Linked DNA regions of Elephas maximus indicus. The protein of the gene in region 3 purifies or fractionates together with the protein of the main gene of each other region. This does not show direct contact. Links are inferred from orthologs where the notes say so. Each region holds a gene or a part of one and is shown on either strand. Other genes may lie near its edges. The genes, in order: HHEX, ANGEL1, EIF4E and EIF3B.

Region 1 (7,278 bases), on a different chromosome or scaffold from region 3:
AAGGGAGAAGCCAATTAGGGGCTGTAGAGCTGACCAGCGCTCCAGACGTTGCACAGCGCGACGGGCGGGGAGGCGCACAGCGGCTCCTCGTCTTCTCCCGTCTCTCTTCCGCACGTCCCCCCCGCCCCCCGGACCCCCGGCCCCCCGACCCCCCGAACCCGGCCTCAAGAGCCTTGCCCCCCGCCGGAGGCGGTCCCAGGCTCCGGGCGCACTCACCTGCCTCTCGCTCAGCTGCAGCATCTTGGCCAGACGCTTCCTCTCGGGCGGCGAGAGGTATTTCTGGGTCTCGAACTTCTTTTCCAGCTCGATGGTCTGATCGTTGGAGAACCTCACCTGGCCGCCTTTCCTTTTGTGCAGCGGCCTCTGCAAGAAAGGACTCCAGAGCAAGGGTTTGCCTGCGGGCAGAAGTAGCAGCACTTAGCGACAGCCCTGGAGCGCCTAGTTCCGAGGGGGTGACGAAAGGGGGAAGCGCAGGAGGACACCCAACCAGACAGTTCACATACACCCACAAGCACACGCACCGGCACATGGGCCCAGCAAGTTCGCACTAATACACACATATACCCACAGGCAAACACCCAAAGCCACACACCTAGACTGTATATACACATATGCACATACACGCCCAGTCATACACCTACACTGCATATACACACAGACCACCCTGTACACTTTAACGCACACAACCATCACATCACAGCTACATACAAACACACAGATCCTTTCATCTCTAAAAGAACGCCCACTACAAGTTGAACTTAAAACACCACGATCCTCTTTTACCAGTCGTTCTCGATTTTATACACAACTTTTTGCACCCCTAGGTCCTCTCCCTCGGTAAACTGCACTTTCCGAATACTCGGGTGTCCGCGTGTTGAGGAAAAGCGGGGCTGGAACACTACGCAAGGCGTTCGCGACCAAGGGAACCACGAGGCTCGCTGCGCGGGAAGCGCTGGGGCCCGGGCGCCCGAGTTAGGCCGTGCGTGGAGCCTCCAATCCCGGCCCGAGGGCGCCGCGGCCTCCTCTGATTTCACACCCGGTCCGCGGGGGCGGCCAGTTAAAGCCACCCCGTGGGCTATGGCAACATTTCCGTCAATGTGTTTCCTGTTGGTCTATCTCGAAAAACCCTTTGCTTCCTCCTGCGCAGTCCCACCAGTAACCCAAGGAAACCCAGAGCGCGCTCTGTGCAAACGTTTGCCCCCAAGCCCAGCCCCAGTGAGGGTCCCGCTGCGGCCCCAGCAAACAGTGCCACTGTAGTGCTGCTGCACCAAAGCCTCGCCGCTGAAATAAAAATATACAATATAATAAGCTTAAAAAAAAAAAAAACTAAAATATAATCCCCCCAAACTCCCCCTAACAGTGGGAGAGAGAGAAAACTAGGCTGGGCTAGAGGTTGTGTCATAATAACAATGACATTATTGAATTAACGGTCAGTGTTTTCAGGGTCTTTACTGAAGCTGCCAATAACACGGGATTGATATCAGACCCCACGGCCTCCTTATCCACCTCGACGCTTCAGACCCTGGAGGCGCCAAGGGCCAATCCGGAGCGCGAATCGCGGCGCTCTCATTTCTTTGGCAGTGTACCGATGGGACAAGCCAACAAATTCTATATGCCCGCGCAGCCCATCTTATCTTGCGCCCGGGGTCTACAGCTTCCTACTCCAAAGGTCTGTCCGTCGAGCTGTGCTTCTGCTAGCCTGCGCCTAAACGCTTTGAAAGCTGGCATTGTTTTTTCGAGATTTTGCTTGCGTCAGGCTTCAGACTGGTGCAAAACAGCCTCGGGGGGGTGGGGGTGGGTAAAAAAAAAAAGGAAGCAACTGGTTATTTTAGCTGCCATAAAGTCACATCCCACACAGAGGAAATGAACAATATCAGAAAAACGGATCCCGGCTATCAGAAGTCGAGTGTTTCCTGAATTTGTCTGTATTGAGGATGTCGATAAAATAATCAGCAGCGTGCACTACTCCGGGGGAAGGGTCTGCTTCATGCAGCCAGGAAAACACTTAACAGCTTCTGAAACCAGATTTACTCCTATCGAGAACTCAAGATTTCCTGTATGAACGGAAAGGGTCAGGCTCTTTCACTGCACAAGCTTGTTGAACCAGGTCCAGCCCCGTAACCATCCGAGCCCGGCAGCTGTCCCGGCCCCATCGGGGCCGGCCCGCGGCGCCTTGGTGCCCACCTCTCCGTCCCTCCCCGCTAAGGGGGCCTCACCCTGGGCGACACGCGCGGACCAGGGCTGCCCTCGACCGCCAGCGGCGCCTGAGGTCTCGCCCAGGCTCTCGCACCCCGACGCCTGCAAGGTGCAGGAAAACCAATCTGAGTCATGGTGCGGTCAGCCCTGGCCGCGCGCCGCCGGGGCCCGATCTTCCCGGCCCCGCGCGCGCCGGAGGGCCGCTTTTCAATCGCTTTTGCTACAACTTTCTATTGCTTCCCCCACCCCCACCCCCACCCCCACCCCCGCCCCCACCCCCACCCCCACCGCCTCCCGGGCGCTGCCACCTGCCGGGTGGCGCCTTCCTCGCCGCCGCCTCGGCTCGGCCCCGCCGTGACCCCGGCCGCCTTACCCAGGGGGTCGTGGCGGAGCAGGGCGTGCGTGTAGTCGTTCACCGTCCGCGGGAAGGGGTACAGAGGGCCCCCGAAGCCGCCGGGTCCGTAGGCGGCGGCCAGCGCCGCTGCGGAGTGGTGCGAGAAGGCGGGGTGGATCGGCGTGGGCTCGTACACCGGGGTCCGGTAGGAGGACACGAGGCTGGTGAAGGAAGAGTTGGGGGACGGCAGCGTGGGGGTGGGGGTGGGCGCGGCAGGCCCGCGGCCCAAGATGTCCTCGATGTAGAACGGCGTCGGATGCGCGGGCTGTAGCAGCGGCGTGGGCGCGTACAGCGGTACCCCCACGGCGGGCGCAGCCGCCCCGGACCCGGGGTGCGGATACTGCATGGCTCCCCTGCGCCTCGGCCCCTCGGAGAGCTGCCAGCCGCCGCCGCGGTGCTACATTTATCCGCGCTCCGCGCTCCCGGCGATAGGCTCTGCCGGCCACGGGGTGGGGCCGCGCTCGCTGGCCCCTTCCTGCCGCCGGGTCCTACGGCCAATGGCGCGGGGCCCCGGAGCCGCCTCCCGCCCCTACCCTGGCCCGCCCACGGCGGCCGAGCTCCCCGCCCCGAGGACGCGCCTGTTGCCGGACTCTGAGGACCCTGCGCCCAGGTGCCCGGCAGCCGGCGCCACTGCTCGTGGCTCCTGGCACCCCGGCCGGGGCCGCCCTCGAGGAAAGTCCGGGACGTGCGTCCGTCCGGGACGGAGAGAGGAAAGCAGCTGCTTGGAGTGCGACTCTGCCGAAACTCGGTCGCACTGGTCCAAGCCCGGACCCCGGGTGTCAGCAGCGGTTCCCAGGCCAACCCAGGCGAGGGACAGCGGAACTGACAGCGTAGAGGCCGCTGGAGGGCCGCGTTTTCACAGGCCTGAGAGGAACCTCCCTGGTCTGCGCGCTCCGTGGAGTAACGGTGGCACGGCTTTTGCCCGGAGCTCTTCCTAAGCTAGCAAGAGGGAGTGCCCAGGGTTACTGGGGCTGCTCCAACGAGAGAGATCAACTGCCCTTAGCTCTGCCCCAGCGGGGTGAGGACGACTAGACTTCAGGTGCTCCAGACTCTTAGCAGCTCCAGCCTGTTTCATTTGGATACCCTGCACTCAGCCACTACCCCAGGGACGCTGGCAGAAGCCGCTTCGGTCAGGTATCAGGAGAAGGCTCGGATCTTATGCGCCGGACGGAGTCTGTGCAATCTTCTCTGACCCGATGGGGACCGCTCCTTGTCCCCTCTCCCCGGGCCCTGGAGGTTGCAGCTGCGCACAGTCCGACTCCTCCGTTTTGCACGTGTTTTCTATTGAAGCAGTGACGCTGGCCCGTGTGGCCTCGGCTCTGCGCGGCGCCACTCGCCTCCGGGGCAAGGGGGCATTTTCTTGATTGACGCCCTCCTGCGGTTGTCACACCTCGCGGTGAGCTATTTCTGCCGAGGTCTCCCTCCGCCCCTCATTAATCGTGGAAATGCAAAGACTTCCCTGGTTTTTCAGTTGAGGAGGTTTTTATTTACATCTTGAAACTGTTTCTCGTATTGCAACGGAACTGCATTAGCAAGAGGAGTGGACTGGGAGCTGAAGGACCTGAGTTCTAGTTTCATTCTGCACAGTTTTGTAGAGCACCTACTTTGTGCCAAAAGTGAACTACACATAGTCCCTGTCCTTATGGTGGTGGGAAACATTTTAACACAGTGACTTATGTATGTGCTAGGAAGAAGTTTATAATGCTTTGAAAACTTAAAACAAAGGCACACCACCTAGTGAGGGTGATTAAGGGAAGGAGGGAAAGGCTTCCCCAAGAAAGTGATATTTGAAAGATGAGTAAGTGAAAACAAGCCTAGAGTGAGAGAGAACATTCCAAGTCCAGGAAATAACATGCAAATATTAATGCAACTTTGGGCAAGTCACCGCTCTGAGCTTTCGTTTTCTCATCTGAAACATTAGGGCCTTACACTAATGATCTCTCATCTTTTTGGGGTAGGGTCACAGGCATCTCTCAGAATCTGACACAGACAAGCTCTGCATCTGTAGTATGCTGTTATTTGGGCTGCATGTACCTTTGCTCTAGGTATGTAAACTGTCTGGAAAAAGGCACAAAAAATGAATACCATTTAGTTGTATAGGAAGAGAGCGTAGGGTGAGAGGAGAATGCATTGTATACCTTTTACATACTTGGAGAATTGAACCATATGGATGTGTGACCTATTGCCAGTATAAGTAAGTCTTTGGAGAGGCTGCTGATTCTAGTTCTGGGACAGAAAAAGTACAAGGTAAGCCCAAAACATCTTGTTTAGAAGAATGGATTTTTCTAAAAAGCTATAAAAGAAATTTGGGGGCATAATGGGGAAAATCAATATGAATTGTATGTTAGATGACATTATTGTTAATTGTCTTAGTTATAATATTAGTATTGTAGGTTATATTGGAAAATTCTTTATTCTTGGGAGATTCTAGCTGATTTAGGATTTTGATAAATGCAATTTATTTTCAAATAGTTCAATGTATGTGCCCATATATACACACATATACATACATACATATATATATATATGCACACATATGTACACTTATATCTAAACACATATGTAAGGAGCCCTGGAGGCACAATGGTTAAATCTTCAGCTGCTAACGGAAAGGTTGGCAGTTCAAACCCACCAGCAGCTCTGGAGGAGGAAAGACCTGGTGATCTGTTCCCATAAAGATTACAGCCTAGGAAACCCTATAGGGCAGTTCTACTGTCATACAGGGACACTATGAGTCAGAATTGGCTCAATGGCACACAACAACAACAAACACATATGTATATATAAAGACAGAGGTAAAGCAAATACAGCAAAATATTACTCGGTGAATTTAGGTCAAGGGTATACAGGTGTGTATATAGTTCTATATACAGTTGTGCCATGTATCATCCGAACTTCTATGTAGGTTTGAACTTCTTGAATATAAAACCTAGAAAAAGTAAATATGATTTTATGTTTAAAAAAAAAGGTAAAAGTATTTGAATGATTTAAGTTTACATGGAATTTTAGATAGTGCCTTGATCCTGGGACCTGTTTGTGGAGGGCTGTTTGAGAAAAATTTGGTCCCTCAGTGGTCAGGTCTAATGTGGCCACTCCACCAGCCATAATTCTCATCAATGGATGGAGAATTCAGGCAGATGCTGAAAGACTTTGAAAGGGAAATGTGTTCTTCTTTGCTCCAAGGACAGAGACAGGCTTTGGGGACAAAGAAAGGACAGTTATTATTACCTGAAGCTTAAACATGCCTTCAAAAGATGTTCGGGTCTTAAAAGGTTGGGACTTATGTGAACTAAATATAGCAGTGATTATTTTCTCACAAAATTTCCCCCATATCTTCGATTTTCTCCTTTTTCCTGCGTTCTTCCATTTAAAAAACTTGTTGCTGTCCAGTCGATTCCGACTCACAGTGACCCTATAGGACGGAATAGAACTGCCCCAAAGGGTTTCCAAGCTGGTGGATTCAAACCGCTGACTTTTAGGCAACAGCTCTTAACTACTACACCACCAGGGCACCCTCTTCCATTTAGCTGGTAATTCAGATGACTACTCCAATTCATTTAATGTTCTTTACAGTAAATCGCTAGCCAGCCTTTATTCTCCATCTTCAAATATGGTATGGTATTATAGTACTAGTTTATTTTGTGAGTGACTCAGCCACCAGCCAAAAGGATCTAAATCTACAAAAATAAATATTAAAGTGCTAGGGGAATGACCCCTAACTAGGAAAAGGAAGCATCGTCTCTTTCTTTGATTTAGCCACAGACACTGTGAAGTGCATAGAGGTGTTAAAAAAAACATGGGTATAGCGTTCCAACTCAGCTACATAATCCTAACCAGCAAATTGAAGCACTTAATTCTTTTAAGCTATGTAACACTGCCTCTTCTAAATCCAGTCGTCAGATCTGTGTTCACTTTGCTACACTTAAAAAAAAAATTACAACCACATTTGTGAATATCACATTTATTGAACTGCATAATTTTTAATATCACTAGTGTAGGTTTTATAGTTTGTTTTATTGTTTAAAAGTCATTTGGGGCGCTAAAAGAACTAGATTTTTTCAATGTTGTCCTTATGATTTTTTTTTTCCACACAGTCAGAACTAATAAAACTAAACTGTTGTAGCTATTTAATTCAAAATCTCTTGGAGTTTCAATATTTTCTCTCTGCTGGATACTAAAACCAATAAAGCTACATGAGATTTTAATTATATTCTGAATTAAACAAGACTCTTAAAAAAAATTGGCACCATTTATTTTAGTCATAGCTATTATGCAAGTGTCCAAACTTTGTGAGAAGAGAAGGTGGCTCTCAATGATAATTTATCTAGTAGGAACTTAGGTAACTTTTTACAACTTATTCTCAATAATTAAATCTAGGTAGGGATAAAATTTCAAGTTAGATTTAGCTAGAAACCATTGATGGATTATGTAACAAGTTGGTTCTATTTATACTTACACTAAAACTTTTACTACCTTCAACTGTTGGAGTGACTAAATCATTCATTAAATCGTATGTCCAATCATTTCATTATTTTATTTAAAATGTGACAAACTCTAATTAGTGTTTTTATGCTTTACTTGCTGAATTACTCACATGATCAAATAGAAATGCCTTGTCTGTGTCATGAATGGAATCAGAGTCCTGGAACATATGGGCAGGTGTCTCCATGACACTGATGTTCTCTTCC
Region 2 (7,278 bases), on a different chromosome or scaffold from region 3:
ACTGAATTAATAAAAGAACAGGTGTCCGACATAATCCAGGACAGAGGTGGACTGATATACCCACATCCCTTTTATCTGGAGGTTAAGACTCCTATTAACATCAACTGGCTCTAAAAACCAAGTTACACTGGAACCAGCACTTGACCATGAATCAGAACTGTGGGCTATGATCTACCATGGAAGTTAACAAAATTATGTGTCCTTGGACAGTGCCCTTAGTCAGATGAACTCAATCTTGACCATAAAATGGGAACTGGACAAGTTTGGACTAGATAATCTCCAAGAGCTTTTCTAACTCTATAGCATCCCCTAATCTTGAAAGCATTCTAAAAGAAAAAGTCCTAAAATAAACAAAAACGGGTCACAAAATACACAATTTACATCTTAGCAAAGGCTCTTACGCCTCTTAACGCTATTTATTATACTCAAAAAATCTTCACAAACTTCATTATCAACTTTCCCGTTCCACAACACATCAGAGGCTGTAAATCTGAAGTGCTGATAACTGACAGCAAGAAGAGACAGCTGTCATCTCTGTTATGGCAGCCACAAATGACAGCCCACCCGCAAGAAAGCAGGCAGGAAAAACTCTAAAATTAAGAGTCCCAAAAATCTAAGCACAGTAATTTGGTGCAAGCAACCAGCCCACACATAATAAATCCCTTATTTGCAGCACAGTACAAGTGATACGCGTAATGCTGACTCTTAATCAGTAAAGAGGTTCATTTTATCAGCTTTTTTTTTTTAGAAAGCAAGAAAAATTTAAAAATGGTTCAGATGTCACTATATTGTTTCTGGTCTATGTCCCTCTGATTCACCTCCAATGGTTTTTAACCGGGGCAATTTTGCTCCCCAGGGACATCTGGCCATATCTGGAGCCATTGTATTGTGGTTGTCACAACTGTGGCGGTGCTACTGGCATCTGGTGGTAAGAGGCTAGGGACGCTGTTACACATCCTACAATGTACAGGACAGCTCTCACAACAAATTATTTGGCCTAAAATGTCAATAGTACGAAGATGGAGAAATCCTGCTTTAAGCCCACGGGCTAGGTTGCTGGGCATTAGTTCCTGGGATTTGATAATTCTCTGCCTCTTGAAACATTCTCTATGTATGCCAGATGGCAGAGGTTCTTTGGTTTATAAGCACGAGGTTACAGGCTCTCAAATTTAGGAGTTTTTGATTTATTTGTTGTCTCTGGTTTGTTTTTCAGCAGCAAAACCTTTTCACCAAAAAAAAAAAAAAAACCTATGTAGAAGTCAAATACACAAAGTTAATACAAGCAGAACTACTCCAATGGGGTACAAGAGAAGAGGTGGCCCCTCTTCTGAGAGCCTTAGAACTAGAAATTTGCCTTTCTAACAAGTTCCCAAGGGAAGCTAATGTTGCTGGTTAGGGACCAATTCTGAGAGCCACTAGTAGAGTACTGGTTCTAAAATTTACAATACATAAAAATCACCTGGGGATCTTGTTAAACTCCAGGTTCTGACCCACTATATCGGGTGGGAATGCAAATTTTCATCAGGGTCTCCAACCAGAACAAACTGGTCTGAAGCCCTGCCCTAGAACTCTCTGGAAATTTCTGAACTAGTGTGAACTAGTTTATTTCACTAAAGCTGCCATCATGGACACAGGAAGAACCCACTGCCAGTTGAGTCCATTCTGACTCACAGCAACCCTATAGGACACAGTAGAACTGCCCCAAGGGTTTCCAAGGAGCGGCTGACCTTTTGGTTAGGTGCATCTGAACTGCAGACCTTTTGGTTAGCAGCCTAAACTCTCAACCACTGTGCCACCAGGGCTATGGACACAGGAAGAGCTCCAGAAATGATGGCAACATGATTAAAGGAATATGCTTTAGATATCTGAAAACAGTCAAGTCCGTAGAGTTTCTCACCCCTCTGAAGTTTGGATACACAAGACATCTTGGAATTCACTGAGTGCCTACTGTATATCAGGCAGTGTGGTAATACTAAAAATACAATAAACAAAACAGACACGGCCCTGCCCTCCGGGAGCTTGTAGTGCTGAGACAGTAAAAAAGTAAATAAATATAAAACATATTTTCTGCGAAATACATAAATTATACACACACATACAAACTTGGGTCAAACTCCAGAAGGGAAAAGTACTGAATGCACAGTTGCAATGCCTTTTTTTTCTAAAAAAGTACTTCTTGGTCCCGCCCCTTAAACTGCCCGAGAAAATCCAGGAGTTCTGTGGCATCTCAGAGAGGAAGGGGTGGTCTCACAAGAGCCTCTGAAATCTCAAAGCCCAGGAATGGCGAGCGCGGGCAGATCATGAAAATGTCAAGGAATAGCCTTTTCCCCTCAACTACCAAGGCTGCTTCAGCCCTGAGGTTCCGATGTGTCTGAATCCTGAGCAGAGGATCCGTTTCTCAAGCCAAAACTCCGCTGAGCGCGGCGGGCTGAGAGGCGGCTGTGAGAGTGCGAGGCCAACCCGGGAAGGCAGGTTCGCCCCGGCCGATCCGCCTCTACCCACAGAGAATTCGGGCACTCGCCTCAGCCCCACGGAACCAGCCCTCTGCAACCCCCAGGGCAGGGGCTCGGCCCTGAACCTCTCTGCACCCCGAGGGCCAGGCAGGGGCTCGGCCCAGCACCTCTCTGCACCCCGAGGGCCAGGCAGGGGCGGCCCCTGCCCCTTCCCAGACCCTCTCACGTTAACCGTGGCTCGACTCCACCGGGCCACCAGAGTCGTCAGCCAGGCCCGGGCCTCATGGGGGCAAGCCCGGCACCGCGGGGCCAGAGGCGACGGCCGCCTCACACATTTTGGCACTGTCCAAGGGACGGTGGTCGTGAGGCCTGGCACGCGGCCCCGCGGGGCCCAACCGAGACGGTCCCGGGCCGGACGCCCGCCTGTCGGACGCGGGGCCGGTACCTGAGAGAGCGCGGAAGAGGCGCGCGGCCGGCAGCAGCAGGTAACACAGACAAGACGCGATCATGGCCGGCCGCGGGCGCCACCTCCCCTCCTCACTGCAGCCCGCCGGGTCTCCCTCAGCTCGGCCCCGCCCAGGCCCCGCCCCGTCTCCGCCCCTTGCTCGGCCCACGTGGCGCCGCCGCGGCTCCCGCCGACCGCGCTTCAACAACAACTTTATTGGGAGCCCAGAGCCACGGACGCGCCCACAGGGGCGGGGAAGCTGATTCCCTTGGCAACCGACAGGGCCTGCCTTGGGAATGTAGCCTTCCGTCTGAGTTTAAAATTTAAGTGTCCCGCTGAAGGCTTCATATTATTATTCAGAAGCCACAGTTTTATTCCCACTTCTGCCACTAACTAGGTGTCCATCTTGAGTCAACCATATAACCTTCCCGCCCTTCATTTTTCTCATATGGAAAATGAGGGGCTATGGAAAATGAGGCTGGACTTTTACTAAGGCCTATCCAGCCCTGACTGTTATCTATCCCTTCCCAAACCAGAGAGGGGAAAGAGCGCGAAATCTTCCCCATTTTCCCCTTTCCCTGACTCTATTGTCTTCTCCAACTCAAAATTCTAGGTGGAAAACTGAATCCACACCTTAACTCTGTCTAAGATTTTGTCTCCTTCACCATTCTGTTCCAAATTGGCCCTTGTTTCCTAATCTGGGGAAAAAATAAAAACAATAACGGGGGGTCTCACTGGTAAAAGAGACAAGGAAAAAAAATTTACAAGGGTAGGGATCAAGTCTGTTTCGTTTTTTTTCACTGAGGTAGCTCTCTAGTGCCTAAAACATTGTTGGGCACATAAAAAAAAAAAACCCAAACCCGTTGCCGTCGAGTCGATTCGGAGTCATCGCGACTATGGGACAAAGTAGAACTGCCCCATAGGGTTGCCGAGCACATAAAACCCACTGCCGTCGAGTCGATTCCAACTCATAGCGACCCTATAGGAGAGAATAGAACTGCCCCACAGAGTTTCCAAGGAGCGCCTGGCGGATTCGGGCAGCTGACCTCTTGGTTAGCAGCCGTAGCACTTAACCACTACGCCACCAGGGTTTCCAGCTGGGCATATAGTAGGGCCCAAATAAACCGTTGCTGACTGACTGAACAAAGCATATATCACTAAATGAAGCCCAGTTCCTCCATCAACTCTGTGCTAATCAAAGGTCTCTTTGAGTCTCTCTTCCCCAAACCCCCACCGTCAATCTTCTGCCCCAACCATGCTGTGAAGAAGAAAGCACTGTATAATACTCCCTTATTTCAGTACCCAGTGTCTGAGCTGTGCAATTTCCAATTTGTGGCTGGAGCCTTGGTTGTTCAGGGAAGCCCTCTGGGGAATCACCAGATCCAGGACCAGCTGGGTACATCATAACACCAAAAAGCTAAAAGGAAAAAGAAGAGTCAGTATTGTGGCCTTCCCACTTTTTATCCTTAGCTCTATAGGCAGAATCTACTTCCAGGCAACAACACCCATCCCTTTTCCTGAGATGAGAAGTAGAGGCCCCAGAGACAATCTGAACGTTGGGAAACCCCTTAGAAACTAGCCCACAAACATTACCTCTACTTAAGGAGTCCCCAGGGAGCCCTGATGCCACAATGGTTAAGAGATACGCTACTAACTGAAAGGTTGGTGGTTTGAACCTACCGGCCAGTTCTGTGGGAGAAAAGACCTGCCAATCTGCTCCTGTAAAGATTTCCTAATCCAAGAGTAAGTTCTACTCTGCCCTATAGGGTTACTATGAGTGGGATTTGACTGACGCACTCAATGGCTTAAGTAAACAAACTCTCCTTGTTCCCGCCTTCCATTTTGCCCCAATAGTTTCCCCGAAGTCTATGTTCCAACACTGATCCTAAACAAGATATTTACGTAGAGACTAAATTTATTATTTTGTGAAGTCATGGTTCCTTATCCACTTAGGAAATGTTTTAAAAATTGGTTGATGTTCAACCATTTCAGAAGGTAGCATATGATCAAGAGCCGATGGTACTGAAGGAAGAAGTCCAAGCTGCACTGAAGGACAAACCAAAAAAAAAAACCTTTTTTGGCGGGGGGCACTGAAGGTATTGGTGAAAAACAAGGCTCCAGGAATTGACAGAATACCAACTGAGATGTTTCAACAACTGGATGCAGCGCTGGAGGTGCTCACTTGTCTATGCCAAGAAATTTGGAAGACAGCTACCTGGCCAACTGACTGGAAAAGATCCATATTTGTGCCCATTCCAAAGAAAGGTGATCCAATGGAATTTGGAATTTGGAAATTATCGTAGAATATCATTAATATCACAAACAACTAAAATTTTGCTGAAGATCATTCAAAAGTGGTTACAGCAGTACATTGACATATAAGTGATAGAAATTCAAGCTGGATTCAAAAGAGGACGTGGAACAAGGGATATCATTTGCTGAAGTCAGATGGATCTTGGCCGAAACCAGAAAGTACCAGAAAGATGTTTACCTGTGTTTTATTGACTCTGCAAAGGCATTCGACTGTGTGGATCATGACAAATTATGGATAACATTGCGAAGAATGAGAATTCCAGAACACTTGATTGTGCTCATACAGAACCTGTACATAGACCATAGACCAAGAGGCAGTCATTCAAACAGAACAAGGGGCTACTGCGTGGTTTAAAATCAAGAAAGGTGTGTGTCAGGGTTGTATCCTTTCACCATACTTATTCAATCTGTATGCTGAGCAAATAATCAAGAAACTGGACTAGATGAAGAAAAGCAGGGCATCAGGATTACAGAACACTAATTAACAACCTGTGGTGACACACCCTTGCTTGCTGAAAGTGAAGAGGACTTGAAGCATTTACTGATGAAGATCAAAGATTACGGCCTTCAGTATAGATTACACCTCAACATAAAACAAAAATCCTCACAACTGAACCACTAAGCAACATCATGATAAATGGAGAAAATATTGAAGTTGTGAAGGACTTCATTTTACTTAGATCTACAATCAACACTCACGGAAGCAGCAGTCAAAAAATCAAACGACGTATTGCATTGGGCAAATCTGCTGTAAATGCCCTTTTTAAAGTGCTAAAAAGCAACAATGTCACTTTGAGGACTAAGGTGTGCCTGACCCAAGCCATGGTATTTTTAAACGCCTCATACGCATGCAAAAGCTAGGCAGTAAATAAAGAAGACTGAAGAATAACTGATGTATTTGAATTATGGTGTTGGTGAAGAATATTGAATATACATTGGACTGCCAGAAAAACAACAAATTTGTCTCGGAAGAAGTGCAGCCAGAATGCTCCTTAGAAGCAAGGGTGGTGAGACTTTGTCTCACATACTTTGGACATGCTATCAGAAGGGACTAGTCCCTGGAGAAGGACATCATTCTTGGTTAAGTAGAGGGTCAGTGAAAAAGAGGAAGACCCTTGACAAGATGGATACAGTGACTGCAGCAATGGGTTCAAGCAGAGCAATGATTATGAGGATGGCGAAGGACTGGGCAACGTTTCATTCTGTTCTACGTAGAGTCACTATGAGTCAGAACTAACACTCGACGGCACCCCACAACAAGAGACCCCATTCCCAGGGTTCTGATTTAACAGGTCTGAAGTGGGGCCCCAAGATTTTGTATTCCTTAAATACTTACCAAGTTATTTTGATAAAAAGTTTAAGAACCTCCGCTAAAGGACTCAGTCTCAACTGGGCTGCTCAGTTCATATGCATGGGCAAAAATGTACCAGGCCAACTGATACCATTTTCTCTCAAAGGTCTTTCCTGAGGCCAGTTAAGCTAGGCTGGTCCCTTTTTGTTTTCTAACCCATAATCAGCTATGTTGGAAAGTATAAGGCAATGTGAGAATCACAAGCTTTGGAGTTAGACTACCAAGTTCGAATCCAAGCTCTACCACTTCTTAACTGTGGTAACCTCTCAGGCTACCTAACCTCTTGAGTTTCGGTTCCCTCACTGTGCCTGACCCAGGATAATCTCTCAGTGTTTACTATTATACTTCTTGAAATGGTAAAAAAATGGCTCTGGCTATTGCTAATGTAGGGTCTTTTTTCACATCCCTGGCTCAAATAAGACTCCGGCCCTCCAAAAGGTAAGGTGGCATTACTGAGCAAGCTGGTAACTACAGATTCCAAGAAGACTTGGCCTGGAGACATGCAGCCTCCCTAGTCAAAAGAAAACTGCAATACAGTCGGCACCATCTGCGGCTTCATTATGTCAGAAATACTCCAAGAGGCCAGCTAAACACCTCAATTCATCCATGATAACAATGAAGACAATAAATAATAAGTACTGATCATCACCATTTGTAAGGTTAACAGCTTGGCTGCTAAACAAAGGTTGGAGGTTTGAGTCCACCCAGAGGCACCT
Region 3 (7,036 bases):
ACAGCAAATGAAGATTTTGCAGGTTTCAGCATGGTTACTTCAATTGCAAGACAATACTAATCAGTTGATTAAAAAAAACAAAAAACCCACTATTTAAAATCGTCAAAAGAATTCTAATTGACTAGGCTGTGAACAAGGGTGCTTTAAGATTACTAAAAATTTGCATTTCTCATTAAAAATGAAGCCTTCAATACTATTCAACATACATTTTCTAACTGCTGTAGTTTCAATCTGGCTTCTACCTCCACACACACACTTTAGGTTTTTAGGTTCCTTTACTCCCCAAAGAAACCCTGGTGGTGTAGTGGTTAAGTGCTATGGCTGCTAACCAAGACGATGGCAATTCAAATCCACCAGGCGCTCCTTGTAAACTCTATGGAGCAGTTCTACTCTGTCCTATAGGGTCGCTATGAGTCGGAATCGACTAGACAGCAGCGGGTTTGGGTTTTTTTGGCTTACTCCGGAAATTTAAATGTACTATCCAAATTTCGAGCAGCCCTGGTGGCCCAGTGATTAAGTGCTTGGATGCTAATGGAAAGTTCTGCAGATCAAACCCACCAGCCACTTCCCCAGGTGAAGATGTGACAGTCTGCTTCTGTAAAGATTTACAGCCTTGGAAACCCTATGGGGCAGTTCTTTTCTGTCCCACAGGGTCACTATGAGTCAGAACTGACTCCAAGGCAATGGATATTCAAATTTCCTCAGGGTCAGCACTGGAATAAATACTATATTGTGTCACTAACCACACGACTTGGAATTAAGCTCCTTAAGAGTTTACATTGAAGAATCACATATTGTATAACCTTGTATCCTAAAGTACACTTGATACAACTAAATACATTAATGGCAAAAAAAAAAGAAAAAGAGAGTTTTCTTTTTTTTATGAACATTTGACTCAAAACAGTCCATTACTTTGTGGTTTTGCACTGTGGAAACAAAACTGCTTAGCGCTGCAAGGTCTAAAGGACCGAAATGCTACTAAAACTTCAGAGAATATATTGTTTTATTGTTGAAACAACAACAAAAAAACCAAACCCGCTGCCATCGAGTCAGTTCTGACTCACAGTGATGCTATAGAACAGAATAGAACTGCCCCATAGAGTTTTCTGGGTGCGCCTAGTGGATTCAAGCTACAGATCTTTTGGTTAGCAGCTGTAGCACTTAACCACTATGCCACCAGGGTTTTACTGTGTAGGACACTGATAATACAGATATGAGAACGGATGGTGTCAAAAGTGGACATGGGAGCCTCTTAAAAGGAGTATTCAGTTAAAATTTTACGTATTTATCCTACTTCTTTATTTATGTAACATTAGTGTGCTAAAGTCAATTAATCGTTATTAGCAACTTAAGGGACAGTTTCACAGTCAACCAAATTTCCAGAAACAGAAATGAAAACTGGTGCCAGTGAAATAACAAGTAACCAAGCAGAAGAAATGCCTTAACTTTTGGCAACAAGAAAAGTTTACATCAATGTAATGAAAAGTAGCCTTTTTGTATTCTATAGGCCTTTCCCCAACTAGAATTTTTTAAAGTTATAAAAATTCTTAAAAAGTCAAAACAAATTGGCAAATCATTACCAAGATCACTAACTACCATGAAAGATAAACAAAAATTTGACAAACAAGGTCTTGAACTGGTTCAAGTGTCAAAAGTTTTCTAGCTGTTTATTAATATACTCACATTATTCCCCCAAAACATTTTCACTTCGGTGTCACATTCCTAAGACAGCAACGGAGGCCTAAGAAGTTCAAGTGAGCTAGAGGTGGCAAACCCAAATCGATAAAGATACCCTCTCCTTTGGTGGCTAACTACCAACTCTTTGCCATAGAATCAGCTTGCTTCGACTAAGTTTAAAATGGTGCCTAAATTAAGCAGAGAGCCTTTGTGAACGCTTAAAAGTACCAAATGGAAAATTAACTTGAAAAGCTAAGTTCCTATTCCCAGTAAGTTGTTCCTTAGAAATATTCCAGACGATAAAGACTCGGGACAGCAGACGGATCTAGACTCATCCGCATTCTCTTGAGGCGTGCGCTCTGCGCGGAAAGGATGAATGAATGGAAGTGAGGCGCGTGTGAAATGCAGCAGGTCCGGCCGGCAACTGGATCAGCAGCAACCATCACTAGGCCTCGCTCCTCCCCTTTCCCTCCTCCATGACAGCCCAGTCTCAAGCATGGAGGGGCGAAGACAATGTGGTCCCCCTTCTCACCCCGCAAACCCTCATCCTATTAGGAAGGCTCCACCGCGCGGCACCAGGCTTTCCTCCCCACCCCAAATCCGTCTCTCCTCCCCAGCCACCAAGCCTGGCAACTCTCGGGCACGCCAGAGAACACGCGCTCGCCCCTCTGCACTACCCCCGGCGAAATCGAACCTACCCCGCGCGTGCCGCGGCACCACTCCCGCCCAACCCACTCACCGGCAACGCACGCCCACCGGCTTCCCAAGCCCACCGGTCTAGTGAAGGAAGACTCGCGCGCGCCCCCGACCCAAGGCTCGAGAGAGAGAGGAAAAGGCTGCCCCGGGGCTCCCTCCTCCACCTCATTCCAGGCCGGCTCGCCGCCCACCCTCCCCGCGATTCCGACGCCTGCTCGAAGCCGGCCCTCCTAACCCGAGGACACAATCCCTACACACCTATCCCAGGACCTGGATCACCCTCCACCCTTGCAGACACCTCGCGGCTCCACAGGAGGCGCCGCGCCGCCCCTCCCCCAGTTCTCTCCCCCAGCGCTCCGGCCCCCACCAGAACGTGTGAGCTACACGCTGCCGCGGCCAGTCTCCGGGGCGCCCCCAAGTTGCCCGCGGGGAGGTCAAGCCCAAGGAGAGGGGGAGGGGGCGGTAAGGGGTAGCGAGCGCGCCGGGAACGTCGTCCCGCGGGGTCCCCCAGTCGGAGGGGAGACGGAGCGCGGGGACCGGTGGGGGTGGGGGCCAAAGGCAATACTCACCGGTTCCACAGTCGCCATCTTAGATCGATCTGATCGCACAACCGCTCCTGAAGGGGGGGTGAGAGGAAAAAAATGAGGTTCAAACCGGATTGGCCGGCTACTGTCCACGTGACGAACGTGTCCGTTTGGCCCCGGCGGCGCCTGCGCAAGACTGCGGCTGCGTGTGTAACGAGAGGCTTCTGGGAAGTGGAGTCTTCCCTCCTCCCCCCCCCCGCCCTTTTTTTTTTAAGGGCAAAGAAGCATTTAAGGGAAAAAAAAAAAAAAGGCTGGTCACGTGGTCTATGGGTGGGTGCGCTGTTCTTTGCGCCGCGGACACTAGCGTGCTAGTGCGTCGTTTTCAGTCTTCTGTTCTTCCGCCTGGATAGTTGCTGTCGCACTCACTGCTAGGCATTCCTACAGTACCCTTTGTCGCCCTTTCCTCCCATCTTCCCCTGAAGGTTGGAACTGCAGACTCAATACGCACAATAAGGCTTCATTTGCTTAGGTGAGGTCCTAGGACAAGTTGGCCTGTGTGTTTATTTCGTTTTCTTTTGACCTCCCACCATTTTCTCTCTTAGTTTCAAAAAGAGGCGGCGATGAAAAGTCGTTGTTTAAGCAATCAATCCTCTCCTGTCCCCCGCTCCGCTAACGCTGGTGAGCATTCTTTGCCATCATTGCGAAAAGGGATGGACGGAACCGCCCGCAACACCCACTTGCTACTGATTGGGGGGGAGGTGGAGTGGACCCTACAGCTTTTCCTGTCCCAAATCCTGAGATTAAGACTTCAGGGCTAAATCCTTCCAGGAAGTAAAAAATTATTTGGAAGCTCTGCCCTTTCGGTTCCACTATTCTGCTTTAACGTGAATGAAAATAGCCTAGTCCAGGTGCCAGCCAGGGAACCACTCTGGGCCCCGCTGACTAAGCCCTGGACTGACCGTCAGGAGTCGTTGGGCGGGTCAACTCTTAACTCTTGACATTGACTGGTTTCTCCTTAGGCTAGTGACTTAAGCATTGAGTGCCTCGGCTTTTTCATTTATGAACCAAAGGTGGTAATACACTTACCTCACAAGAGTATGCTATGGTAATGACTATAACCAGCTTTGAAAAGGCATCAGACTATAAACGCCTCAGAATAAGCAGCCGCGTGACTTTCTAAGGATCAGCTGCTTCCCCTGGTTTTTTTTTTTTTTTTTTTAACGTTTTTCTTTTCTTTTTTTTTTTGTTTATTACATTGTGATGTACATCGATGCAGTTTTAAAGTTTGAAGAATGTTTTTTTCCTTGTAATTGTAGTGCCTTTGATGGAGGCTTTGATGTTCAGGAAAATATTATGATGTTCACAACAATCACTGGCGATTAGAAATTTGTCCCCGCACTAGCATCCTACATTTCGTTTCCTTCTAAGGTAACTTCCCCAGCTGTTAATTCTCAAGATGGTGTTATTCTGCACAGCCTGGCTCTTACTACAAAGAAATAAATCTAGTTACCGTAAGGCTTTAATGAGAAAGACACTATCTCGTGACTATTTCCCAGGCTTCTTAAGAATGTTAACACCAGGAAAATCAGTGTAAGCAAGCTGCCAGTGTCTGCCTGCTTGTAGTGTTGCTGATGTCCAGAGCTGTGTCACACCTATTGTTGAGTACATAATGGATGCTTGAGTTGACTAACATAATTGAGGATGTTTAAGAACTCAAAGTCATTGCCTGTTAGTATGTTTTGGTTTACCTGGATGTCAGAAATGATTCATGAAAACTTTTGTACAGTCAGGTTCGCTCAAGTAGGTCCTAAAGTAGATAGAATCTAAAAAATAAAAGTCTAAATGAATTCCTACTTAAAGACTACCTTCTGTTATTTAAACTGTCTTAAGTATTTTCAGTTGATCTTAATGGTGTTTTCTGTTGGTTAAAAGTAGTATCTGGTTATCTTCTTCGAAGAGAAGGCATAGATGTGCTAGATAACAAAAGAATCAAGGAGGCTGACAAGGAAGTACCCAGATGGAAATGAAAGCCAGTGATGTTTTAAAACTTTTTTTTTCTTTTTTTTAGAACAATGGCTCCCAAACTTTGGCCCAAAACTCCCCACTCTTAGTAAACATCCTAGATCTTTTAGAACACTTACTTGTGCTCCTATATTTTATAACGTAATTTCTCTTCATTTTGTATATGCTTTATTGCATGGGTTTTACGGCACGTTCATGTGTCTTAATAACGCTGTTAGATTCTACCCTATCATTGTGATTAGGTTTTTATGTAAGAGTATGTGTATGTGGTAGTTTTGTGTTGTTTTTGCTGATCTGAAATATACAGAGAAGAACTTTTATACTTTGTCTATTAATGTGTAACAAATTACATTTGTTACCTTACTACCCTATTTATGATTAGAGTTAGAGAAAAGAAAGGTTAATCGAAGCTTAGATTTATGAAATAGAATGTAATATTAGAATACTATTCTATTTGATCAAATTATCTAGCTTATACGTAACTACTTATTTCCCAACATAGTAACATGGTAACTATTATTCATAAGCCTGGGATGATCGGTTATCAATTAGCATCTGTAAATAATCATGATCTTTTTTCTGCATAATATGTTTCTCAAACTGGTATATAACTTGTCTTAATAGATTTAACTCATAGGAAATGACTTTAAATAATTTGATGGAACACATCAGTTGTTTTTATTACGTATTTACCGTTTTGTCATTGGAGCTTTATTTAGGCTTGGCAGATAACCGAAGTCACTGTTTTGCTAGGCTTTTCAACTGTGTTTCAAATTACTACAGTATGTCCCTCAGAAATATTATTGCTGCGCTGTCTAGGGCTTTTTTCCTTTTAAAGACAGACTTTGTAATTTTAGACATTCTGTTTAGATTAAGTACCTTTCTTAGTCTATGAACAGTACAGAGCCGTCATTTTTCTTAAAATGAGTGGATTTTGAGATAGAAAATATGAAATTATGTAATAAATAAGTGAACGTTATTACTGTAATGTTAGTAACTTTAGACATAGTCTAAACCAACCCTTAGTTAACACTAATCTGACATTCCTTTCTTTAAACCTTGTTCAGCTTTTTTTCTAAATTGGTCAAACTTGCTACTTTATTTCATGTTCTATTTTTTTAATTATTATTTTTATAGGAAAATCACTCAGAAAGACCCAACATAATGGACCCTAATAGGATAAATAGTGTTTTAAATTACAATTGTATAGTTTAGTGGTTAAGAGCATGAGCTCTGGTGTCAGCCTATCTTGGTTCATAATCCCAACTCCACATTTACTGTATGACTATAGGCATGTTACTTACTCTCTTTGTACCTCTTTTTTGTTATTGTTGTTTGTCTGCTTTTTCTTAATGAGTTAGAGGGGCACAATAATTGTACCAATCTTAGATGGCTAGTGTAAGAAATAAATGAGTTAATTCATATAACATGCTTAGAATGGTTCCTAACACATAGTAAATACTGAATATTACCTATTTCATTAGTATGATGTACTATTGTATAGAACTGACTGAACGGCATCTAACAGCAACAACTATTATGTTGACACAGATTTCTTATCTCTGTTTTTTAGTACAGTGGAATATAATTATGGATTCTTTTATTCTGAGAACTAATACCAACCCATGATCTTTGAGGGTATTCCAGGCTTTCAAATGTTGAAAGTCAACTAACTTTTATTGATGATAACATACCAAGTATTTTCCGTATTAATTACCTCATCTGATCTTTATGGCAATTATGTGAATTAATCACTATCATCCCCACTTTATACATAAAGAAACAGATTTAGTAAAGTTAGAGGAGACATCCAAGTCTGCATTCAAACACAATTCTCTTGATTCCAAGATTCCTTCTTTCCTCCATACCATAGTTGCTTCCCTCTGATAGGTTCTTGCAGAACTCCTCTTTCTCCTCAAAGGACTTTTAATTCTAAGTTCGTCTTCAAAACTGACAAGAAACCGTTCAAGAAATATTAAGTTACTAATGGCAAACGTGTGGTCACTGAAGGATATTTAAAGGACACAGGAAGCACAGGCACTTCCCTGTTGGACTGTAAAATCTGGTTGGCTTACTAAGTCATAGAAATATAAATAGTTCAGTACCCATATAAAGAA
Region 4 (7,133 bases), on a different chromosome or scaffold from region 3:
ATTCTCAGCAATCTACTCCACCTCAGGACACGTAACCTTTGGGTAAAGGGTTTGGACTTGATAAGCAGCTCCCATGCCTTCACTAGTTTGTCATGTCTTTCCTGCTTTTTGAGGTAGAATGTCTTTTACCTTGTGAAAAAAAGCATAACAAAATAAACGGTGACAGTAGCCCTTTAAGAAAACACTTAAATGAAGAGTTGACAACTCTATGCCAGCGTCCTAAATTTTCCTCTTCCTTTCACTTGTTAGGAATCTATGTAATTCTGACTCAATCTATGTGATTGCCAGCACAATACCACACAAAAAAATCTATGTATGTTAATGTGCTAACATCTAGTTTTCTTGGTGTATGTATCAGTGGCTACTTCTACAGCCACTACTTTACCATAAACTAGTCAACACGTAGAGGGATCCATTGGTGAGCTTGGAGAGTTAAAACGGCAAAAAAAAAAAAAGAGCAAACCAAAAACTAATGTAATCAGCTATCAACAACTCTCAGGCAGCAGAAATAAAGCCTGTAAACCTGATCAAGGTAGAAACCACCGGAAAGCAAGCTATAGCTGCTTGTTGTTGGGAGCCGCTGAGTCCATTTCAACTCACAGCGACTCCATGTGACAGCAGAATTGCCCCATAGGGTTTTCTAGGCTGTAATTTTTTTTTTTAATTTTTATTGTGCTTTCAGCGAAATTTTACAAATCAAGTCAGTCTCTCATACAAAAATTGATATATACCTCGATACATACTCCTAGTCGTTCTCCCAATGAGACAACACACTCCTTCTCTTGACTATCTCCATGTCCATTCAGCCAGCTTCTGTTCCCCTCTGCCTTCTCATCTCCCCTCCTGACAGGAGCTGCCCACACAGTCTCATGTGTCTACCTGATCCAAGAAGCTCACTCCTCACCAGTATCATTTTCTATCCCATAGTCCAGTCCGATCCGTAACTGAAGAGTTAGCTTTGGGAATGGTTCCTGTCTTGGGCCAACAGAAGGTCTGGTGAGCATGACCTCCGGGGTCCTTCTAGTCTCAGTCAAACCATTAAGTCTGGTCTTTTTACAAGAATTTGGGTTCTGCATCCCACTGCTCTGCTGCTCCTTCAGGGGTTCTCTGTTGTGTTCCCCGTCAGGGCAAGTCATTCGCTGTAGTGGGCACCATCTAGTTCTTCTAGTCTCAGGCTCATGTAGTCTCTGGTTTATGTGGCCCTTTCTGTCTCTGGGGGTCATAATTACCTTGTGTCTTTGGTGTCCTTCATTCTCCTTTGCTCCAGGTGGGTTGAGACCAATTGATGCATCTTAGATGGCCGCCTGCTAGCGTTTAAGACCCCAGATGCCACTCTCCAAAGTGGGGTGCAGAATGTTTTCTTAGTAGACTTTATGATGCCAATTGACCTAGATGTCCCCTGAAACCATGGTCCCCAAACCCCCGCCCCGCTATGCTGGCCTTCGAAGCATTCAGTTTATTCAGGAAACTTCTTTGCTTTTGGTTTAGTCCAGGTGTGCTGACCTCTCCCGTATTGTGTGCTGTCTTTCCCTACACCTAAAATAGTTCCTGTCTCCTATCTAATTGGTGAATACCCCTCTCCCTCCCTCCTTCACCTGTAATCTTTGAGGTAGCAGATCACCAAGCCTTTTTCCTGCAGAGCAGCTGCTTTGGTTCAAATTTGAGAAATAACCTCCCAACACAAGAACGGTGGCTTGCCTGACACATTTAGGAAAAAAAGTAACCACAACGGGAATTTGGCAAGGTCTGCCTTGCACTATCCTGCGCAGGAAATCTCCAGTCAGAAAACCAGTGGAACAGGGACACACCAATCCAGCTCTGCCACAACCTGCACTTCCCAGTCCTGCGGGGAAATATCCGCAGCCACCTCTACAAGTCAAAACCTGTGTCAGCCCTAGGACACCTGGACCAGCAACCCTGAGGTCTTGCCCTTGGACCATGGGAAGTCAGTCCAGGAGACCAATCCAGGAGAGTCCTACTTGGCTCTGCCCCCAATGGCTACACATCAGTGTGCACTGACATAGCCTCCTGTGTAGGTACAGTCTGACAGCCGCCCACCACCGCGATCCTGGATTTTTGGCTGTAATGCAAATAATAGGTTCCCTTCTTTAGGGACCCCTGTATCATTCTGACATATTCTTAACCCCAAAGAAAGCGATAGTAGGCTCTCCTAGAAAAATTCCACTACGCACTGGTGGCAACAGTTGGGAGACAGTGCCACCTCCCTCGCATTTCTACAGAGCCTGGAACTTGGGCACAGGCACATCACATGTCACCGAAACTTGTCATCTAAAGTCAATCTCCAACACTAGCTCCCTGACCCTTCTCGGTTAAAAAGCCTCCTTTCTCTACGTCGGCCACAGGTCAGGGAAGGACAGCGGGCCGGGGACGCACCTTCCTCGCTCACGTCGTCCACGAAGTCCTCGGGGTCGCTGAAGGAGGGTTCGTCCGCGTCACCGTTCTCCAACGCGCGTGGCTCTGCCTCCGCCGAGTCCCCCTTGTCCTCACCCGCCTCTTTCGACGACTCCTGTGGCCGACTCTCGGCGGCCTCGGCTCGGGACTCCTCCCGAACCGGGGACTGGGGCTCCTCCCCGGACGGCGGCAAGGGGGACTGGGACGAACCCGCCGGATAGCTGGGGACCGCGCCCGCTGACTCCGTCTCCTTCTCCGCGGCCGCCGGCTCTGCCTTCGCTTTAAGCTCGGGCTCGGCCGCCACCACCGCCTCCTTCTTGGCCTCGGTCACCGAGTCCGCCGCCCCCGGAGCCCCTGGCCCCGCGGGCCGCAGCGGCTCCTCCTCCGGCGGCGGCTCGGCGGCGGGCTGCTGCGCCCCCGGCTCGGTCTGCTCCTCGGCCGCTCCGGGCGCCGCCACGTTCTCCGCGTCCTGCATGGGCCCAGGCGCAGCCTCCCTCACCTCAGGGTCCGCAGCCGCCGCGCTTCCGACTCTCCCAGGCCGCACCGCGCGTTCGCCGGCGCCTACTCTCTAACCATGTGCGATCGACCCGGGCAGGTCCGCACCACCGCGCCCACTGCGGGGGGGGCTTCCATGCCTTGACCCCGCCTGACGTGCTGGGAACCACCCAAGCTCGGAAGTGTGCCTATCAACTGTCTGAATAACATTTTTACATCAAGTAACTATTCAATTCCAATCCACTAAGTTTTCTTCCTCATTAGGTAAACTCATTAGGAGCTATAACCACCCCCGTTTGTGGTAGCGGATTGGTTTCACCCAATATGGCAGCCAGCCCTTCCTGCTCCCATCAAGCGCTTCGGTGAAGGACGGAACTACTTGTGGCGCCGAAGGGAGGTCTCAGAAATGATCTTTCTATGCGGAATTATGTGTAAATATAGTTTGACTCAAAAATTAATACTAGAGAAAGCCATAAGTTCAACCAACGATTTGGTGTGATAGCCTAGCTTTTAACCGGACAAACCATTTAGCTTATATTACGAAACTCCCCTTTACATACTGGTTTTTAGTTTCGCCTACTGACTGGGCAAAAGAGCCGACGATTCCAAAATGAAATAAAATATGGTGTTAACAAGAAGCAGCCAAAACTACCAGAAAGAATATTTCCCGGCCCAATACAAAAATTTGAGAGTTGCTTTACTCGCTTACGCCCAGCTGCACTTGTAGCGGCCGTAACACTGCTCTTTACCCATTCTGGCTTTCACGATGGTTCGGTCCGCAAGAAACTATCGCTCTCCGACCCGGGAGCGGGTCACGTGGTTCAGGGGGGTGTGGCCAGAGAAGTCAAGAGACACGTGAGGCGGGAGGAAGACGCAGAAGGTCTGAGCAACGACGTGGAGACAGGAGGGGCGGAGTTTGCGACAAGGGTGGCTCAGGTATTTATCCACAGACTCGAGGCCAACCACTGATGTTTTCATCATACAAGAGTTGTGCAGTTGCGTAATACTGGGTTCGATTCCTCCTCCTGTCAACTGTAACCTTGGGAGAATCTCTGAGCCTCTGTGCCTCAGTTTCCTCACCTGCAAAGTGAGGGGTGAGTGGCTCTTGGAACCTTTTCGAGCTGTACTCCTGCAGAAGGTGAATGAGTTTCACTAAAGACCAAAAGAATCTTCTAAATTTCTAGTTTCGTTTGCAGTTTTCTTAAATCATTGCCAACCGTTTTCTTCTAGAAAGTGCTAAAAGGTGATAAACCAGTGAACAAGGAGGTTGTAGTTTATAGTTTGGCACCTAGGTGTTTCTCAGATAGGAAAGACTTCTATGGCATGCTTCTATTGCAGAACTAGAAAAAAAGTCAGTTTTCATTAAGTTGATTCTGACTCCTGGCAACCCCATGTGGGTCATAGTAGAACTGGGCTCCATAAGGTTTGCAGTGATTGATATTTTGGAAGTAGATCGTCAGGCCTTTCTTCCGAGGCACCTCTGGGTGGACTTGAACCTCAAACCTTTCCTTTAGCAGCAGAGCGTGTTGATAAGTTTGCACCACCCAGGGACTCCTTGTAGCAGAGTAGCAACTCATGACTCTTCCAGTGAGTGAATTTGTCATTTTCTTTTCTGCAGGGAAAGTTATGAACACTGTCATGATGCAATAAAAAGTATTTATTATCTCTTAGTATTCTAGAGGGGAGTCCTGGTGGTCTGGTGGTTAAGAGCTAGGCTGCTAACCAAAAGTTCAGGAGTTTGAACCCACCAACTGCTCCTTGGAAACCCAATGAGCAGTTCTTCTCTGTCCTACAGAGTCACTATGAATCAGAATCGACTCAATGGCAACAGGTAGGATTTGGGTAGTGTTCTAGAGGAGCCCTGGTGGCATAGTAGTTTAGCGCCACAGCTGCTAACCAAAAGGTCGGCAGTTTCAATCCACCAGCCACTCCTTGGAAACCCCATGGAGGCAGTTCTTCTCTGTCCTGTAGGGTCAGTATGAGTTAGAGTCGACTCATTGCCAATGGGAGAATTCTGGAAAGGAGCCCTGGCGGTGCAGTGTTTAAGCGCTTGGCTGCTAACTGAAAGGTTGGCGGTTTGAACCCACCAGCCGTCCGAGGAAGAAAGATGTGCCAGTCCACTTTCATCAAGATTATAGCCTTGCGTCTGGGGTCTTAAACACTAGCAAGCGGCCACCTAAGATGCGTGCATCAATTGGTCTCAACCCACCTGGATCAAAGCAGAATGAAGAACACCAAGGGCACAAGGTGATTACTAGCCCAAGAGACAGAAAGGGCCACGTAAACCATTGGCTACATCAGCCAGAGACCAGAAGAGCTAAATGGTGCCTGGCTACAACCGATGACTCCCCTGACAGGGAGCACAACAGAGAACCCAAGGGAGCAGGAGAGCAGTGGGATGCAGACCCCAAATTCTCATAAAAAGACCAGACTTAATGGTCTGACTGAGACTAGAAGGACCCCAATGGTCATGGCCCCCAGACCTTCTGTTGGCCCAAGATAGGAACCATTCCCAAAGCCAACTCTTCAGACAGGGATTGGACTGGAGGGTTGGAGAGGGATGCTGGTAAGGAGTGAGCTTCTTGGATCAGGTGGACACTTGAGACTATTTTGGCATCTCCTCCCTGGAGGGGAGGTGAGAGGGTAGAGGGGGTTAGAAGCTGGCTAAACGGACACGAAAATAGGGAGTAGAGGGAGCAAGTGGGTTGTCTCATTAGGGGGAGAGCAATTGGGAGTATGTAGCAAGGTGTACATGGGTTTTTGTGTGAGAAACTGACTTGATTTGTAAACTTTCACTTAAAGTGCAAAAAAAAAAAAAAAATAGCCTTGGGAGCCCTATGAGACAGTTCTACTCTGTCCTATAGGGTTGCTATGAACTAGAATCGACTCGACGATGGCAGGTTTAGTGCACTAGAGAGAGCATCAAGACCATCAGCAGTTGCACCACCCTCAAAAGTGAAAAGCACTGCAATTGCTATTCAAATTATGTAAGCGCCTGCTCTGTGTTGGTTATGCAGTGGTGGGTAAAGTGTGCTGTGTTAGAAGTACAGCTCTGTAATGGGAGCAACGTTCATTAATTAAAGCATCACAGAAGTGCAAAAATATGCCTGTGATTTAAAAAAAATAATTGTCAAGGCGACTCCAACTCAGGGTGACGCTATGTGTATCAGACTGATCTTTCAAAGTAGATCACCACGCCTTTATTCAGAGGGGCCTTCAGGTGGCTGGACTCCAACCGCCAACCTTCTGGTTAGCAGCTGAGCTTGTTAACCGTTTGCACCATTCAGGGACTCCACATCTGTGATAAATTCATGAAATTTTTGACACTCCTCCCTTCAAAAGGTAAAGCCTAATTCTGCTTTTAATGTGGATAGACAGTGACCAGCTTCTAATGAACAGAATGTGGCAAAAGTGATGCTAAGTGACTTCCAAGTCTAGGTCATAAAAACGACAAGCTTCTAGCTGGCTGGCTGGCTGTCTCTCGGATCACTGGCAATGAAGGAAGCTGGCCAGCATGTTCTGAGGGCACTCAAACAGTCTGTGGAGAAGCCCACATGTGGAGGAACTGAGGCAGCCAACCAACAGTCAACACCAAATTGCCAGGTGTGTGAAAGAGCTACCTTGGAAACAGATCCTGCAGTCCTGGTTAAGCCATTAGATGACTGCAACCTCATGAGAAATCTTGGGCCAGAAATACCCACCTAGGCCACTTGCAAATTTCTCACTTGCAGAAACCACAAGATTATAAATGTTTTTTATTTTAAACCCTAAATTTTGGGGTAATTTGTTGTACAGCAATGGGCAACTAATAAAATGGATTTATATATGATAACTTGTGTAGTTCCTAAAACATACTGTTAAGTTTCATAAAGATTAGGTTGCATATTGATATATACAGCAGAATACCGATTAAGAAAAATGCACAAAGTTATGTTATAGATATTACATGGGTAATATAGATAAAAATGTAAAATATGTAGAAAAAGACCTGGAAGGATGCACACGAAACTGAAAGCAGTAATTGATGAAAGTGAGTGAAATTGGTGGTGTTTTTCACAGAAAAAGTTAATTATAGGATCTAGGTGGGGTGTTTGTATGTTGACTATAAAATTAAACTTTTCTGTGTGGTTGAAAATTTTTATAATAAAATGTTGGTGGGGGGAGGATTCCAGTCAGTGTCAGAAGACCCCCCACTGAGGCAATTTGTGCCTTAAAAAGTATTTTTA

Evidence for each region.
Region 1: the proteins of EIF4E (region 3) and HHEX purify together in Homo sapiens (affinity purification with western blotting; 3 studies listed by BioGRID and IntAct, with this or other methods). This does not show direct contact. The link is inferred for Elephas maximus indicus from reciprocal best matches to the Homo sapiens genes EIF4E and HHEX.
Region 2: the proteins of EIF4E (region 3) and ANGEL1 purify together in Homo sapiens (affinity purification with mass spectrometry; 3 studies listed by BioGRID and IntAct, counting the BioPlex papers as one, with this or other methods). This does not show direct contact. The link is inferred for Elephas maximus indicus from reciprocal best matches to the Homo sapiens genes EIF4E and ANGEL1.
Region 4: the proteins of EIF4E (region 3) and EIF3B purify together in Homo sapiens (affinity purification with western blotting; 5 studies listed by BioGRID and IntAct, with this or other methods). This does not show direct contact. The link is inferred for Elephas maximus indicus from reciprocal best matches to the Homo sapiens genes EIF4E and EIF3B.

The regions. Positions count from the first base shown.
Region 1 is NC_064834.1:43,890,906-43,898,183, reverse strand, and holds the start of HHEX (hematopoietically-expressed homeobox protein HHEX), read right to left. Parts: upstream 3,009-7,278; 5' UTR 2,937-3,008; coding exon 2,570-2,936; intron 396-2,569; coding exon 217-395; intron 1-216. UniProt on the Homo sapiens protein: Recognizes the DNA sequence 5'-ATTAA-3'. Transcriptional repressor. Activator of WNT-mediated transcription in conjunction with CTNNB1.
Region 2 is NC_064828.1:89,607,523-89,614,800, forward strand, and holds the start of ANGEL1 (protein angel homolog 1), read right to left. Parts: upstream 3,017-7,278; 5' UTR 2,963-3,016; coding exon 2,899-2,962; intron 1-2,898.
Region 3 is NC_064823.1:54,608,887-54,615,922, reverse strand, and holds the start of EIF4E (eukaryotic translation initiation factor 4E), read right to left. Parts: upstream 3,006-7,036; 5' UTR 2,961-3,005; coding exon 2,943-2,960; intron 1-2,942. UniProt on the Homo sapiens protein: Acts in the cytoplasm to initiate and regulate protein synthesis and is required in the nucleus for export of a subset of mRNAs from the nucleus to the cytoplasm which promotes processes such as RNA capping, processing and splicing.
Region 4 is NC_064830.1:96,692,408-96,699,540, reverse strand, and holds the start of EIF3B (eukaryotic translation initiation factor 3 subunit B), read right to left. Parts: upstream 3,009-7,133; 5' UTR 2,888-3,008; coding exon 2,395-2,887; intron 1-2,394.